2 linked regions of the Caenorhabditis elegans genome follow. The protein of the gene in region 1 interacts with the protein of each later gene in a pairwise test. Each region holds a gene or a part of one and is shown in the gene's direction. Other genes may lie near its edges.

Evidence for each region. Proteins that work in one complex are often made in the same cells at the same time.
Region 2: the proteins of mcm-6 (region 1) and cdt-1 interact in a two-hybrid assay, tested with the Caenorhabditis elegans proteins (one study listed by BioGRID).

The regions. Positions count from the first base shown.
Region 1 is NC_003281.10:9,792,256-9,800,381, forward strand, and holds mcm-6 (DNA replication licensing factor mcm-6), read left to right. Parts: upstream 1-2,111; 5' UTR 2,112-2,112; coding exon 2,113-2,348; intron 2,349-2,397; coding exon 2,398-2,686; intron 2,687-2,733; coding exon 2,734-3,019; exon of another isoform or gene 3,020-3,040; coding exon of another isoform or gene 3,041-3,256; intron 3,257-3,298; coding exon of another isoform or gene 3,299-3,577; intron 3,578-3,634; coding exon of another isoform or gene 3,635-3,742; intron 3,743-3,787; coding exon of another isoform or gene 3,788-3,960; intron 3,961-4,015; coding exon of another isoform or gene 4,016-4,129; intron 4,130-4,175; coding exon of another isoform or gene 4,176-4,293; intron 4,294-4,568; exon of another isoform or gene 4,569-4,570; coding exon 4,571-6,014; intron 6,015-6,061; coding exon 6,062-6,239; 3' UTR 6,240-6,388; downstream 6,389-8,126. Other genes in the region: R10E11.9 (uncharacterized protein), read right to left, coding at 331-601, 800-889, 941-1,013, 1,246-1,303; srxa-10 (Serpentine receptor class XA 10), read right to left, coding at 3,041-3,256, 3,299-3,577, 3,635-3,742, 3,788-3,960, 4,016-4,129, 4,176-4,293; ZK632.2 (uncharacterized protein), read left to right, coding at 6,856-6,996, 7,052-7,168, 7,547-8,126.
Region 2 is NC_003279.8:3,221,939-3,230,642, reverse strand, and holds cdt-1 (CDT1 Geminin-binding domain-containing protein), read left to right. Parts: upstream 1-2,538; 5' UTR 2,539-2,675; coding exon 2,676-2,741; intron 2,742-2,800; coding exon 2,801-3,764; intron 3,765-4,877; coding exon 4,878-5,730; intron 5,731-6,852; coding exon 6,853-7,024; 3' UTR 7,025-7,483; downstream 7,484-8,704. Other genes in the region: txl-1 (Thioredoxin-like protein), read right to left, coding at 945-1,195; rom-5 (rhomboid protease), read left to right, coding at 7,693-7,893.

The DNA.
Region 1 (8,126 bases):
TGAGAAAATTGCAACGAGGTACCTGGGAAAGAAAATTGTTTAGAAAAACAAGGAGCTATTCGTTTTGGAGACTGAAAAATCAAAGAGCGACTTGGTAGGTAAACTAAAATATTTAGTTTACCTACCAAGTCGCTCTTTGATTTTGAAATATTTAGTTTACCGCAGAGAAAATTATTCTACATACATCTATTTTTGCATCACTTGCGTTTAAGTCTACAAATGGAATTTGAAATTTGTAAAATCCTTGAGGAAATATGGCACTTTCAAGGAAAATGAAAATCGGAACGTTTTAATTTTTCAAAAAAAAATCCAATTGAGCAGAATATATAATTATTGAAAATATTGATAATCCAGTTCTTGATCTCTAGCAGCTGCATAAGACCTTCTTTTATCAGTTTCCTCGTAGCTTCTTCGGAGTTCCCATTGAGTTCCAGAATCTATTGTTGAACTGCTAATTGTTTGAATTTGTGAGTCTTTCTTTGTTGGCTTCTTTTCTGGTTCAATATTTGAAGATTTCTTTTTTCTTCCAACGAATATCCAAGAAACACAACAACAGCAACATACAAGTAAGAGAAGAACAAGAAGAATTACTCCGATTATTCTGAAAAAAGTTTAGTTTTCAAGATGTTCCTGTTTAAGATGTTCCAAATTAAGAAATCCAAAATTTCATCCCCTTATAGGGATGTTCTGAGAGATGTCTCATTCTACTACAGATGCTCAAATGAAAACTTAAATTTCTTCTGTGGATTTATATGACTTAGATGTGGATCTAGTTAGAGCTACTTTACAAAAAGCTTACATGGGTTCTTGTCTAAATCTCCAACAACAGTTTTCCAAGAACTCTCCACAACATTCATAATATGTGAAGAAAGAAGCAGTTGGACACCTCCTAAACGAGAAAAACGGAATTATTTGCCAATTATAATATTCTCCAACTTACATTGGAGCAGGTCGTGGTGAGTTAAAATACCACGGTCGGCGGCAAATGACGTCATTGTATGATTGAGATTTAACTGAAACAATTCTTTGACAAGGTATTTTAATAAAATTCATCATATTTTCCAATAAACTTGAAGCTAGGTGAGAAATATGGCTTGTAGCACCGAGATCGTGTCGAGACCCACTCAGAAATCCAGCGTGCGCCTTTCAAAATTAAATGGAAATCTCTAAAAAATGTTTATAGGTGAATTTCATCATACTATAGCGCCTTTTGAACTTTGAACTTTTAAAATTGTCGAAACTCACCATTTGAGATCAGAGTTAGATTTAAAATCAAAACGAATAATTTAAAGAGAAAGTGCATACTTATCGATAAAGCAGTATAACACAACTTTTCTGTCGACAAAGCTTGGAAGTTGTAGTGTCCAGAAAGCAAACATACACATATTCTCGCATAAGTTTCCTCGGCCTGTTGCGCACGTCTGACTCATATTTATTCATTCTAAACATCGCCCGAATTTCTGAAATTCTAAGAAGTACAGTAACCCGAATGGTCTCAAGGTAACCTATCTCCCCTTGAAATTAATTCAAGTTTGAATGAGAATTTTGCATGTTTCAAATTTTTCGTGACTCTCAATAACTACTGATTCTTGAAGTCTACATTACAGGCTATTAAATTAGAAATCGTAGGCCCGATTTTTATCAAAGTACCGTACCGTGTGAGTTTCAAGGGAGGCACGTTTTTGGGAAATGGTCTTGCGACGACATGGCAAGAATTGTTATTTTTTAAAGCGCCTTTTTCTGTTTTTGATTTTTCCCAATAAGTTTTTTATTTTATTCATAAAATATATCTTTTACATCTGAAAAAGCAAGTTTCTGAATGACAATGAATTTCTGTCGAAATTCAAATTCACAGCCGCACAGTTTTCGCGCCTAATTTGTCTGCGTCTCTTTACCGCGCACACTGTTTCGTCTACAACACTCCAGTGTTTCGGTACGCAGGTTGCCGCCAAAATTGAGTTTTGAATTTTAGGTGTCTTATTTCTCGTCGTTTTCCCGCATTCTCATTGTTTTCCTCTTCAGATTGCACCGACTTCCTGAATTTCTAGTTCTCTTTCTTACTTTTTCGATTAAGAAAGTTGCCTTAATTCTTTTTAAATCAATTCTTTCAGCATGGACAACATTATCGGCGGTCAAGCCCAGCAAGTGGAGGACACCGACGGAACTCGTGTGCAGAACGAGTTTTCCAAGTTTTTGAAGAGCTTCAAAGACCAGAAAAATGAGTTTATCTACAAATCTGCGATGAAGGAGCTCGTGCAACCAGAAAAGAATACCATTTTCATTAACATGCAACATCTCTACAAGTTCAGTAACAATCTCGCAACAACTATCGAGCTGCAATACTACAGGTAAATTAAATTCGATTAGTATTTTCGAATACTTATAAATATACTTCAGGGTCTATCCATTCATGTGCGAAGCTCTACACTTGGCCACTTTAGATGCTTGTGATGAAAGTGAGAGACAGCAAATGTTCAAGAAGCAATTGTACGTTTCGCTGTTCAATCTCGATGCGAAAACGAAAGTTCGTGAGCTTTCTGCGGACAAAGTCGGAGGCCTCGTGCGCATTGCCGGTCAGATTGTCCGAACTCACCCAGTGCATCCAGAACTTTCACGGGCTTGTTTCGTGTGTGAGGATTGCGGTGTTACCACACGTGATGTTCAACAGCAGTTCAGATACACTCAGGTATGCGGAGATAATAATTAGCTTATAACGAATTCAAATGTTTTCAGCCAACTAAATGTGCTAATCCTCAATGCATGAATCGTACCAGATTCAGTCTCGATGTCAACTCATCTACTTTCGTCGACTTCCAGAAGATTAGAATTCAGGAGACTCAAGCAGAGTTGCCTCGTGGATCAATTCCACGTACTGTCGATGTGATTGTTCGAGGAGAAATGGTTGAAACTGTCCAACCAGGAGATAAATGTGACATTGTTGGAACTCTTATCGTCATTCCAGATATTGCTCAATTGAGCACTCCTGGACTTCGTGCTGAGACTTCAAATCAGAACAGAGGTAAACAATTTTATTCGAAACTCATTTCTTAGTGGAAGTAGTTGTCGCAGATACCTTGATTGTCTTCTTTTTCGCTGGTTTCATACAGAAAACTCTTTCTCGAACAAAATCCATATAGATTTTTCTGGTAACAGGGGTAAAAATGAAGTATACTAGAAATACATGGCATGGCACCTGAGCTAGTCGAAAATAAGTGAATGCGAGCTTTCCGTCAAGCGAAAGATTTCCAAAGAGTTCCTGAAAACTTGCATAGTAAACGCTATTTCGTTGAATTTATACCGGAACAACTCGTAGAACAAGACTTGTTAGCTCATATACAGAAAGATAGAAAGCAGTGATAAAAGCTTGAATCATAAGCATTCGTTCAGTCTTCTTTTTCGCTTTTAAAACATCCGAAGGCATTGATGTAAACTGATCTCCATTCCCACGTCGGAACATATTTTTGATCTTTGTATATGTTGGTGATCTTTGAAGTTTGAAGTTTATAATAACTAGCACATTGAAAAAGAATGCTACGAACGGAAAGAATACAGAGTAATAATTGGAGAACGTTGTGATCTACAAATTAAATTATTAATTTTTGTAACACAGATATCATCCGTAGATCTACTTTACCTGATGCCTGTCTGGTGCACATTCAGATATGAATCCAACTTTTCGTATATCATAATTTATCCGACACTCACTCAGATAGGGAATAATAAGACATGCGAAATTGGCAGTCTGAAGAATAAATGTATCATTTGAAATCTTAGCATTTCAAGATACCATATGAAATGAAGTATAGAGCCATATTTTGCTAGAAGTGAAAAGCTGAGATGCCTGCATACTCACAACTACTGCTATTCGATTAATAGTCATCAGAATAAGTGTGAGCATTGGATGAAGATAATTGAACGTTACACCCACCGAAATCATAGCTCCTATTGAATCCCGATATGCTGAAAATATAGATTAGAAAATATATCCTTCCTCATGTGTCCGGACAGTTATTACTTTTATATGTTTTATCGGACATGTAATAGGGGAGTATGTAGACCATTATTCCGAATATGACTAGAAGTGCGTTAGAAATTGCCATGTTATAGATGTATGTGGCTGGTAGAGCATCTGAAATGAGATTTTTAAAAAAATAAAATCCCGAATTTTTCGTAACTGTTTTTAGAAGTTTTTATTGCCAGTGATAAAGTAATACAGTAGAATAAATTGAACACCGAACATGTCTCGTAAACCCATAGAGCAATACGCTTAACAACGGCAGCATCCACATCCATTTGTAGAAAAAAGAAACACACCAGCAGGTTGAATAATGTAGGAACCAATGGTTGGGTAGTATTCTTTTGGAAGATGTGATTATATGGACTCCTCGTTTCTCGATAATGTGGTGATTTTGATTTTATTAGCATCTAGTATTCGAACAATTATGGTCACGTGGAACGAGGAAGTAGAATTGATTTTCAGTGACTAGTGATTCCTATGGTTTCATAAATTTAAATATATATTTTAAGAAAAAAAACTAGCGAGACTCAACAATAATCTGATTTTTTACAGGCAGAGCGACCGATAAAAGCGAAGGAATCACTGGATTGAAAGCTCTTGGAGTCCGTGATCTTACCTATAAAATGGCATTCTTGGCTTGTCATATTCAACAAACCGAGAGTCTTGTTGGTGGAGATGCTTCGGGAGCTGTTGAGGAGACTGATTATCTTGATTTATGGTCGAAAATGTCAACAGAAGATCGTGCAACACTGAAGAAAATGAGTGACGATAAGAAAATCGAGAAGAACATTGTCGATTCACTTTTCCCGAACATTTATGGAAACCACGAAGTTAAGCTTGGAGTTCTTCTGATGCTTCTTGGAGGTGTCGCGAAGAAGAGCAGGGACGAAGGAACTTCACTGAGAGGTGATATCAACGTTTGTCTTGTTGGAGATCCATCAACTGCCAAGTCGCAAGTTCTGAAAGCTGTGGAAGAGTTCAGTCCAAGAGCTATTTACACTTCTGGAAAAGCATCTTCAGCTGCTGGTCTGACTGCTGCTGTTGTAAAAGACGAGGAATCGTTCGAGTTTGTCATTGAAGCTGGAGCTCTCATGCTTGCCGACAATGGAGTTTGTTGTATTGATGAGTTCGACAAAATGGACCTCAAGGATCAGGTTGCCATTCACGAGGCAATGGAACAACAAACCATTTCCATCACCAAAGCTGGAGTCAAAGCAACATTGAATGCCCGTGCATCAATTCTTGCCGCTGCAAATCCAGTTAATGGACGTTATGATAGAAGTCGTCCGTTGAAGTATAATGTCCAGATGTCAGCTCCGATTATGTCACGTTTCGATCTTTTCTTTGTGTTGGTCGATGAGTGCAATGAAGTTACTGATTACGCTATTGCCCGTCGGATCCTTGATAATCATCGTGCGATCAGTGAGCATACTGAACGTGACAGTGTTTACAAAATTGATGATATCAAGAAGTATATCGCGTTTGCTCGTTGCTTCAAGCCGAAGATTTCGGATAAAGCTGCTGAAACTCTTGTTCGAGAGTACAAGAAACTTCGTATGTCTGACAGCAACAATGCAGCCACGTCATCATGGAGAATCACTGTTCGTCAATTGGAGTCTCTCGTTCGTCTGTCTGAGGCTCTTGCTCGTCTTCACTGTGGAAAGGAAGTACTGGTGGAACATGTCGAAAAGGCTGCCGAACTTCTCAACAAGTCTATCGTCAGAGTTGAGCAACCAGACATTGCTTTGGATGATGACGACTTTGACAACAATATCATGGTTGTTGAAGCAGACAAAGAGAATCAAAGAGGAGATGATAGTATGGATCATGATGGAGAGAAGGAAAATGCTCCGAAGATTGATATAGCAAAGCTCAAAATCTCATTCAAGGAATACAAGCAATTGTCTGATGTTCTCGTTTTACATATGCGATCCGATGAAGACAATCAAGGAGAAGACGAGTATGATGGTGTCAAGCAGAGTGCACTTGTTGAATGGTTTGTTTAAATATTCAAATATTTAAATTTAAATTTCTGGTTTTTAGGTACTTGTCGACAATCGAAGCAGATTTGGAGACGGAGGAAGACTTCAACGTACAAAAGACTATTTGCGAGCGTGTAATTCATCGTCTCATTCACCAGGATCACGTTCTTCTTGAAGTTGAGCAAGGAGAAGATCCAACTCTCTGTGTTCATCCGAACTATGTTATTGCCGACGAATAATTGAAATAATTGCTTCCCGTGTGTATTGATCTCTTATCCAGGCTCTTTTACCGTTTATCATTATTTTTATCATCATCATCAACTCACTAATTTGCAATTAACTTGAGTATGACTATCACCGGAACTTTTGTGAATGAATTTTCATCAATATTTCCAAACTATTGCTATGTGTTCAAAGTGAAAAATGTATGGGCTGCGGCCTAGTTTCATTGACGGCCATGTACTTCTCGTGGACAACTTTCGCAAACCGAATCTTTTAGTTATCCAGATGTAAAATATTGGGATTTCTGTGCCAAAAACACGGTACCTAGTCTCGAAACGATAAATGTTTGTTAAATGAAAACGGATGTGCGCCTTTAAAGAGTACTGTAATTTACAGATTCATATTTTTTTGTTTTTTTTCTCCCGTTTTTCGATAATTCATGTTTTTAATGTTATTCTTGAGCTTGCTAATGAATAATCTTATTTTTATTTTAAAAAAACGATGAAAATCCCTTTAATTTAAAATTACAGTATTCTATAATGGTGCACATCATTTTTTCCTCAAACCTTTTTCGTGCGGAGACCGGCTACCGTATTTTTAGCTCAGAAATCAAATAATAAATATTTCAGCGTAATGTCTGAATCAGACGGAGCCTTCAAATCACCAAGTTTACCTCCATCTCATCATGCTCCGGCTCCAATGTCGCCTGAAAAAATTCGAGCTCCCGCTGAACAGATGGACGGTCCAGTTGAAGGAGTTATTGATGAAATTGAGGTTTGAAAAATATTTATTGATTATATATATATTGAAATAATCATTTTTCTTTCAGACTGCGGAAGTTCAAGCTGAAAAAGAATCGAAAATTTCAGTGCAAGCACCAGCTCTACACTATGAAGTGCCTCCTTGGGCTTGTGAACCGGATCCAGCTCATAAATTTCAGTTTGAGGTACATATTACCCAGACGCGAAATTTTGCACAAAAAATTCGGTACCCGGTCTCGACACGAAAATTTTTTGTTAAATGTAACAACGTCTGCTCCTTTAAAGTACTGTAGTTTTTTTTTCGATATGAATTAAATTAATTTATTAAAAAACCTGAATATGCAAATATATTACATTTCAATTTTGACAAATCGAGAGAAAAACTATGAAAATTCGGTGAAAATTAAGCAGCAATGAAAATTTGAAATTACAGTACTCTTTAAAGGCGCACATATTCTCGCATTTAACAAAAATTGTAGTGTTAGGACCAGAAACCGTAATTTTAATGCTAATTTTCTCAATTTTTCTGTTGATACAAAATAAAATAAAAACAATTTTTTCAGATTCTGAAAGAAGGAAAATTAATTGCTTCGTATGATTTGTCAAATCGAAAGAATTCAACGTTCGTAGTTATCGGAAGAATCAAGCCAGGATGTGATCTTTTAATGGAACATCCATCAATTTCAAGATATCACTGTATTTTACAATATGGAAATGATAAAATGTCAAAAACTGGAAAAGGATGGCATATTTTTGAATTGGGAAGTACCCATGGAAGCCGTATGAATAAAAAACGATTACCACCGAAACAATACATCAGAACCAGAGTTGGATTCATTTTTCAGTTTGGAGAAAGTACTCGAATATTGAATTTTGTTGGGCCTGAAGAGGATTCAGAGCCGGAATGGGATTGTTCACCAACTGAAATGAAGTTAAGAAAACACAAAAAAGAATTGGAAGCAAAATTGAGAGCCGCTGCAGCACAAGAAATGATTGACGATGAAAAACGTGAAAAAGAAGAAGAAGGATGTGGATGGGGAATGGATTATGGAGAAGATGAGAAACCATTGACTACTGTTGAAACTGATGCACATTTGATGGAGGATCGAGAAGCTTATTATAATCAGGATCCAAAAAAGGCGT
Region 2 (8,704 bases), on another chromosome or scaffold:
TATTTTTTTTTAATTTTTTTTTTTTAATTAAATTTTTTCCAAATATAAGAGAAACGGCTGAAAATTTGATTCTTCGAATTTTTTACAAAAGTTGAGTGAATATTTTTTTTTCGATTATGCGATATCTGAAAAATCGAAAACTTTTCGTTTTTCCTATTTTTTCAAAAAAAGCTCAATTTTTTTTCTTTTTTTTCTTCTTTTTAGAAAAAAATGTATGTTCTCTTATGTTCTTTTTCAGGAACATTAACAAAATTTAGTAAAAAATAAAGTTTATTTTATTGTCAGAAAAAGATTTTTTTTCGATTTTCCGATTTTCCGGAAAATCGAAAATGTTATATTAAGTCTCAGAAATAATTACTAAGGGTAAAGCTTTTAAAGCCTTTTCAATTTCATTTTGAATATCCACAAAATATTGATTTTTCAGGTTTTACGAGCCAATTTGCAAGAAATTTATCGGTTTCCAAATTAAATTTTTTTTAATTAATCAAAACAAGGCTCTGCAATTTTCAATATGCTATAATCCAACTTTTTGATCTAAACTTTATATAGGAATGTAATTTAAAAAAGGTCTGTTCCATGTGAAAAAATTATTTATTTTTTTTGAAAAATTTGAAATAGGCCTCGCACCATTTGAGGCCTTTTTCAAAATTTTCAACAAAAATAAATATTATTTTCAGATGGAACATAAATTTTTTCTACATTTCTATATCAATTTTAGATCAAAAAGTTGGATTATAGCATATTAAAAATGGCAGAGCCCTGTTTTGATTATCTTTAAAAAATTTAATTTGGAAACTCATAAATTTCTTGCAAATTGGCTCGTAAAACCTGCAAAAATCAATATTTTCAAGATATTCAAAATGAAATAATTTCTGAGACTTCACTTTTTTGCAATTTCTTCAAATTTCCCGCATTTCTATTCCAATTCCAGATGAGACCCATACCCGCTCTGGAAAACCATGAACGTTGGCATCGAATTGACACCGTTCTCTGAGCTGGTTTTCTCGCAGATCTCCACATCAACTTTCAGAAAAACTGCTCCAAGATATTGATTGGACAGAGCTTCAAATGTTGGAGCAATCATTTTGCACGGTCCGCACCAGACTGCAGTGAAATCGACAATCACTGACTTGAGACCAGCGAGGGAAAGCTGATTTCTGAAGTCTTCGTCGTCTTTCACGTTGATAACTGGCATGGTGTAGGGGAGATGGGCTGAAAATTAATTTAATATTTAGATTACTGCACTTATTTTTTTAAGGTGGTGTAGTCGAATTTTTTTAAAATTGCTTCATTAGACTCAAAATTGTCTCAAAACACCGAATTTCATGATGAAACTGCTTGAAAACTTCTCAAAAAAAGTTATGACTGCTCAAAAAATGGCCTAAAATTAGTTAAAATTTGAAATTAGACCGACTTTTCAAGCGGCTAAAAACTACCTTTTTTGAAATCACCGTCAAATTTTGAGTATATATAAAATGTAATTATCTTGCGTTTTCAACTCGATTTAGGTATTTTAAAGTCGATGGACGGCGAGATTTGGTTTAAAAAATTTAAAAATCTCGCCGTCCATCGACTTCAAAATATCTGAATCAAATTGAAAATGCAAGATAATATAATTGTATACTCAAAATTAGACGGTAATTTCAAAAAAGTTAGTTTCCAGCCGCTTGACAAGTCGGTCAAATTTCAAATTTTAACTAATTTTAGGCCATTTTTTGAGCAGTCATAACTTTTTTTGAGAAGTTTTCAAGCAGTTTCATCATGAAATTCGGTGTTTTGAGACAATTTTGAGTCTAATGAAGCAATTTTAAAAAAATTCGACTACGCCACCTTTAAAATACGGATTTTTAATCGAAAAATGCAAAATAATCTCAAAAAATGGGAAAAATCCCCAAAATCTAAAGAAAAATTAAAGAAAAAAATTGGGTTTTGAAAAAAGTTGTTATTTTGTAGTTGAATTTGTTGAATTTTTCCCGCTGAAATTCCAATTTTTAAGCTTTCGCATCATTTTTTTTGGGATTTCTGGCAAAAGCTATTGTAAATACTCCCGGAACAATGCACGAATATATTTTAGCTATTTAATACGCAGAAATTGTGAAATTTCGTTATTTTTTGGGCGATTTCTGGGGAAATTTTGACCGAAAAATTGTAATTTCTGGGATCACCGCTTCCAAAATTGTTCAGTTTATAGTTCTAGGAGCAAAAGATATCTCATTCAGAAGAAAAAACGAAAAAAAAATTTCAAAAAATATAGGAATCACGCCAATTTAAATAATTATTCATTAAAAAAAAGATTTTTTGAAGGTTTCCACAGTAAAATGCATTCATTCTCAAACTGATTTTTGGGTAATTTTGGGCATTTTACACGCTAAAATAGGTGAAAAGCACTTTTAAACGCTCTGAACACAATTTTAATATGCAAAAAATAGTATAAATTCCGGAAAATTAAGAAAATCGGCATGAAACGTGGATTTGTCAGCATTCAAAATGAATGCCGGTGCGGCGAGGGAGTGCACGAAGCGTGGAGACGCAGCGGACAACAAACGCGCTCCAATGGACAAAAAGTGCGGGAAACCGGGACTGTTCAAAGTGTACGCTTTGTCTGTCGTCTCTCCCATTTATTTTTTGGTTTTCGCGAATAATTTCGCTGAAATTATTATTTATTCCTGATAAAAATGAGTTCCCGGGTGACTAGATCCAGGTCCCAGACTCCGCAGACTGCTGTAACCGACTTTTTCAAGGTAAATTGGAGTTTGAAGTTATGAATTGCAATTATTTAATGTTTTTTTTTCTTTTTCAGACCACCAGAAAACCGAGAGCAAGAGGAGAAAAGAAGATTATCGATGAAAGCATCACAAAGACCACTACAATTAAAGAAGTACAAATTCCTGCTGCTCCAATCGTCGAGAATAAATCCTCCCGAACTCGCGCTCGGACTCCATCCCGTCAAGCGGAATTATCGAGTTCCGGAACTCCGCCAAAAAAAGCTAGAGAAGCTGAAGCAGAAGCCCCTGAGCTTCCCAAAATCCATGAAGATATTATTCTGGAAAATCCGGCTCCTCAGAAGTCAGCGATCGATAAGCTAATGGAAGCATCCGGCCCAGCGAAAAAGAAGGCTGGAATTCGAACTGTTGCAGATTTACAAGCAAGAATAGCTGCAAAAGGAGCAGCTAAAGCGATTCATGAGCAAAATTTGAAGAACAAAACGAAGCAGGTCGATGATCACGTGGAATTGCTGAAATCTCCGAAGAAACCAGTTATTGTTGAGCATCACAAATCACCTCAGAAATCCAAGGCCGCTCGTAATCTGTTCTCACCGAAGAAGCCAGTTCCAGACTATATTATTCCCGGCTTTAATGTCCTGAAATCGGCCGAAAAAGTTCGCGGAGAGCAGGATGATGCTCACGAAGAAGAGGGAAAACGAATGACTGCAGAGTTTCTGAAGAGCTCACGGCTTATTGATGAAGTTAAGGAGAGTGCACGTCAACGGATTGAACTTCCAACTGCGTATGAACATCTCGCTGATACTTTCAAACGAATCGATCAGATCACTGCGATCTTTATCGGTCAGAATCGAAGCTGTGTGGTTCCTGAGTTGATCAAGAATGTTAAGAATACGTCTGGAAAGGATTTTTCCAATGAACATTTGTCACAAATTCTTCATGTATATCCTCAATCATATCATATTGAGATGCGTGAACAGCGAAAAGCATTCGGCCAGGGCGGGAAGTATGAACTTGAGGTTCGACCGAATCTCGTGGAAGGTTCGTAGCTTTCGGTTGGCAATTTGCAATAAAAACATTTAAAAAATCAGCTATTTCTGACGTATTCCATTAAAATTTAGTGTCAGAAAATAGAAAAAATATTATATTAATCGTAAAATAGCATTCTTTTAAGTTTAAAAAGACTTATCGATTTTTCTTCTCTGTTTGATCACCTCCACACATTTTTGAACTCGAAAATATTTAACGATTAATAAAATATTTCTCTATTTTTTAACAGACCCTATTCATGCTCCTGATACTGATTTTTGATGTGAAAATTTTTCAAAAAATTCAAAAAAAAAGCCCTGGTTTTATATTAATTTTTGGAAATTCTAAAAATACTAGCTTTGCTCAAAAAAAAACTGAAAAAAAACACAATTTTCTCTTCAAAAAGTAAGAAAAAACACAGCTTTTTACCAGATGTTCGAAAAAAAAACTTTTTTGTTTAAAAAATCCAAAAAAAAAACAATTTTTTAGTAAAAAAATTCGAAAAAACTCAATTTTAAGAAAAAAATCCGGGAAAAAAACACCGTTTTTTAGTCATAAAATCGGAAAAAAGATAATTCTTTATTCAAAAAATCCGAAAGAGCTCAATTTTTTAGTCATAAAATCCGATAGAACAGCGTTTTTTGTAAAAAAAACCGAAAATACCGAATTTTTATTCAAAAAATCCGAAAAAAAAACACAATATTTCAGTCAAATAATCCGAAACAACGCTATTTATAAATTGGAAAAAACACCATTTTTTGTTCAAAAAATTAGAAAAAAACAATTATTTTTAATTTAAAAAATCTGGAAAAAACACAATTTTAAGTCGAAAAATCGAAAAAAAAAGACACATTTCTTTAGTCAAAAAAATACGAAAAAACACCTTTCTTGTTCAAAAATCCGAAAAAAACGCAATTTTTTAGTCATAAATGCGAAAAATACGCAATATTTTAGTTTAAAATATCTGAGAAAAACACAATCTTTGTGGCCAAACATTGAAAAAAACACCTTTTTTTGTTCAAAAAATCCCAGAAAAACGCAATTTTTTAGTTATAAAATTCGAAAAAACCCCAATTTTTAGTCAAAAAAAAGTTTCCTGCTTACAAAAAACCTTTTTTTTTGCAGATCTACGAGGCTACATTTACGAAAAATCCCCCACCGACGGCGACACCGAAGATCTTCCACTAGTCTGCCCATCAAAGCTGCTCTCCCCAAAGAAAAGCCCCAGAAAACAAGTTCAACCGGCTCTCCGAAAGCCAGAAGTCGACGGGAGGATTCGCCTGGACGCTGCTCGTCAAAGAGACCGAGCTCATGTTTTCCGTTATAAGTTGGCCTCGATTGTCACGAAATGTCATACGGAATTTTTGGAATCTCAAGGATTATGTGCTTCTTCGAATATTAAGAGAATGCATCCATTATTCCGACTTGACAAGCATTGTCCATCACTGCCGCAGGTGAAACTTCCAGAACCTCCTCTACAGAAATCATCGATTCATATTGGAATGAAAGAAGCTTTAGATAAATATATGGATCAAGTATCTCTACCATCATTTGTTCAAAAAGCTTATCAAGACTTAAAATCTCCACTGAAATCAACTACAGGAGCATCTGGAACAGTTCCAATCTCGCCGAAAAAGTTCTCCGAGATGCAAAAAGAGCAGAAGAGCCAGGGAGCAATGTCACTTTTAGAGCGTATTCGTGCGAAGGAAGCAATCAAAAAGGCGGCTGAAGCTTGTATTGATAAGGATCTTGAGAGAAGAAAGCAACGTCTAACACTGCTCCGTGACCGATATGTTCGAATTGTGTGCAATCATTATACGGCGAAACGGGCTCAGACGATGGAAATTGATGTGATTTGCAAATTTGTGCAGTTCAGCTCGTCCAACTCGTCTTCGATTCCTGATATTATGGATCATTTGAGATTGTTGTGTGAGGTCGCACCGATGTACATCTCTGAAGCTAGTTTAATGAACAAAAAGTTCGTTTTTTCTCGATTTTGAGCCATTTTTGCGAATTCTTTTGCATCGAAATCGAAAGAAAAAACTTGAAAATTGGATGATTTCGGCGAACTTTAAAAAATTGTTTTCAAAAAATGTTGAAAATTCGCAAATTTTTTGAAATAAAATGTCTGAAAAAATGTTTAAAATTCATTGAAAAATCGGAAATTCTCTTAAAAATGCTGAAAACTCTAGAAAGCAGCAAATTAGTAAAAAAAAAATATCAGAACATTTGCAAAAATGGGAATTTTCAGAAAATTCAACTTTTTTTTTGAAAATTAAAAAAAAATCTCGATTTCGGGTCATTTTTGCAAATTCTTTTGCATCGAAATTGAAAGAAAAATCAATCTTGAAAATTTCGCAAGTTTTAAAATATAATTTTCCATAAATTCGCGGTGGTTTTTCAGAAATTTTTGAAAAATATCAAAGAATTTTTAAAAAGTTATGAAAAAAATCGGAAAATTTGATTTTAAAAATTTCTTTGTCTCGATTTACGCAGACGGTGTACTCCACGAGGAGAAGAGTAGTTTTTGGATATGGTGCTCGATTTTGTATGATTTCTGCAAATTTTTTTTCTTTTAAAAATTCGTCTGAAAATTTTTGAATTTTTTTAAAAATTCATTGAAAAATCGGAAATTCCTGAAAATTAGCAAAAATGTTTGGAGATTTTTAAAAAATTCGAAAAAATTGTTTGTAAAAAATCCTGAAAATTCCCAAAAAAAAAATTATGACAATTTTCTGCGAGAGTTTAAAATATTACAGATTTTTTTAAATTTTGAAAAATATCTAATATTCTCGAAAAATTCGCCTTGGAAAATTTCGAAAAATTCATTTTAAAAATAGGAAATTCAAAATTACTACTTTAGCATTAAAAAAATCATAAAAATTCTCCAAATTTTTTAGAAGTTTCCAAAAAAAAAATCGCAAAAATTAAATTTGTGGTTTTCCAACAATAAATGGACCAAAATCAAAAATTTCCACCAAAAAAAACATAACTTCTCCTCGAGGAGTACACGAGCTCCGTAAATCGACACAGACATTTGTGAAAAAAATTACTTGAAAATCGTAAAATTTCAACAAAAAAAATTCTAATTTTTTTCCAGATACTTCCGATTCACCGACAACAACATTGAAGCAATCAACGAGTTGCTCGATGAAGAGCTCCAAATTACTCAGAAAAAGATTGATGAGCAACGAAACACCCAAATTGCACAAATGAGCCACCACCACACACCACGGCCATCCAAAGCAGCAAGATCTCTCAAATTTCATTAAAAACTAATTTCTAAGCCATTTGTAACTAATTTTCTCACTTTTCTCTCATAACATTCCTGCAATTTTTAATTTTTTTCCAAAGAATTTCCAGAAATTTCAAAGATTTTTGAGCATTTTTCGATTTTTTCACGAATTTTCCGGAAAAAAATCGGAAATTTTTCAATACAATTCTCCAAAAAATTCCCGAAAAATCACAAAATTTCCACTATAACTTCTCGAAAATCTTTGTAATTCCTGAACATTTTCAAAGAATTTCTAAAAATTCTCAATTTTCCAGAATTTCTTTGAAAATTCCTGAAAAAATCGGAACTTTTCCAAAAAATCCGTCACTTGTAACTATTTTTCTTCTCGTTTTTTCTCTCATGCTCTGTACCATTTTCCAATTTTTTTTCACTTTTTTCCAAGTTATCACTCTTGCAATTTCAAATTTAAAATTTCAAATAAATCAAAACGTTATTTAGAAAATTAAAATGGAATTAAAATTTTTATTCCAAGCTGTTATTCATTTTCAGCGTAAAAATTATTTTCCGCTTGGCGCATTTTCGGTGCATTGCTGGCGCATTTCGCGATCCGTTTTTCAACCGTTTATGTATTTTTCATCATTCTTCAATGAAAAACTAAATTTTTAAAACAAAATTCAATTTTTCTATAATTTTTCAATTCAGAAAATGCTCAGTAATCGCCTCGTTGGCTTTCTTTGCTCCCGGTCATTCACAAAATGCACAAGCCTGCCGAGCCGATTCACACGTGACGGATTACGGGATCGATTACGACAGCAGGAGCTCAAAGAGCTCACGAAAAATCATCAGATTAAGCAGGCGTTTAGTCCAGACGCTAGAACTGTCAGGCCGATGTCGGATTTGTGGAAAGTACGGGATTTTTTATTTTTTAGTTGAAAATTAGTAAAAAAATCAGTTTTTTCGGCGAAAATTGAAGTAGAAAAGGTTTTTTTTTTGTGTAAAAAATATCAAAAATTCATTGAAAATTGAAAGAAAAAGCGAAAATTTTCTAAAAAAAAAATTCAAGAAATCCGCATATTTTCTCTTGAAAAATATCAAAAATTCGCTTTAAAAAATGCCAAAAATCGGAAAAAATGCTGAGAAATGAATTTTGCGCCTAAATTAGTTTAGAAAGTTTATTTTTTCGGCGAAAATCTCCTCAAAAAGTCAAAAAATTTACAAATTTTTGTTCTAAATTAACAAAAATTTGTTAAAAATTGAAAAAAAAAATAACGAAAAAAGACGTTTTGCGCTCAAATTAATTTGATAATTTCAACTTTAAAAATCTTTATTTATTTCAGTGAAATTTCAGAGCAAAATTGGTTTTTTTTGCCAAAAATTTTCAAAATTCAAGAAATCGCAATATTTTTTGCCTAAAAAGTACCGAAAATTGACAAAAACCGGAAATTAATTAAAAATTTTAATTTTGCATCAGGAAACACATGATTTTTGGCGTAAATCTCTAAAATTGTTAACAATTCAATTCTTTAACAACAAAACTCGCTTTTTACTATTTTGAGCCGGTACCTGGTCTCGACACGACAAATTTTTCGTAAGTGTGAGCCTTTAAAGAGTACTGTAGTTTCAAAAACTTTTCAAGGCACATACATTTCCACGTGTCGAGACCGTATACTTTCTTTTTTCATTTTCCGTATTTTTTTTTTGGTTCAAAAATTGTGAA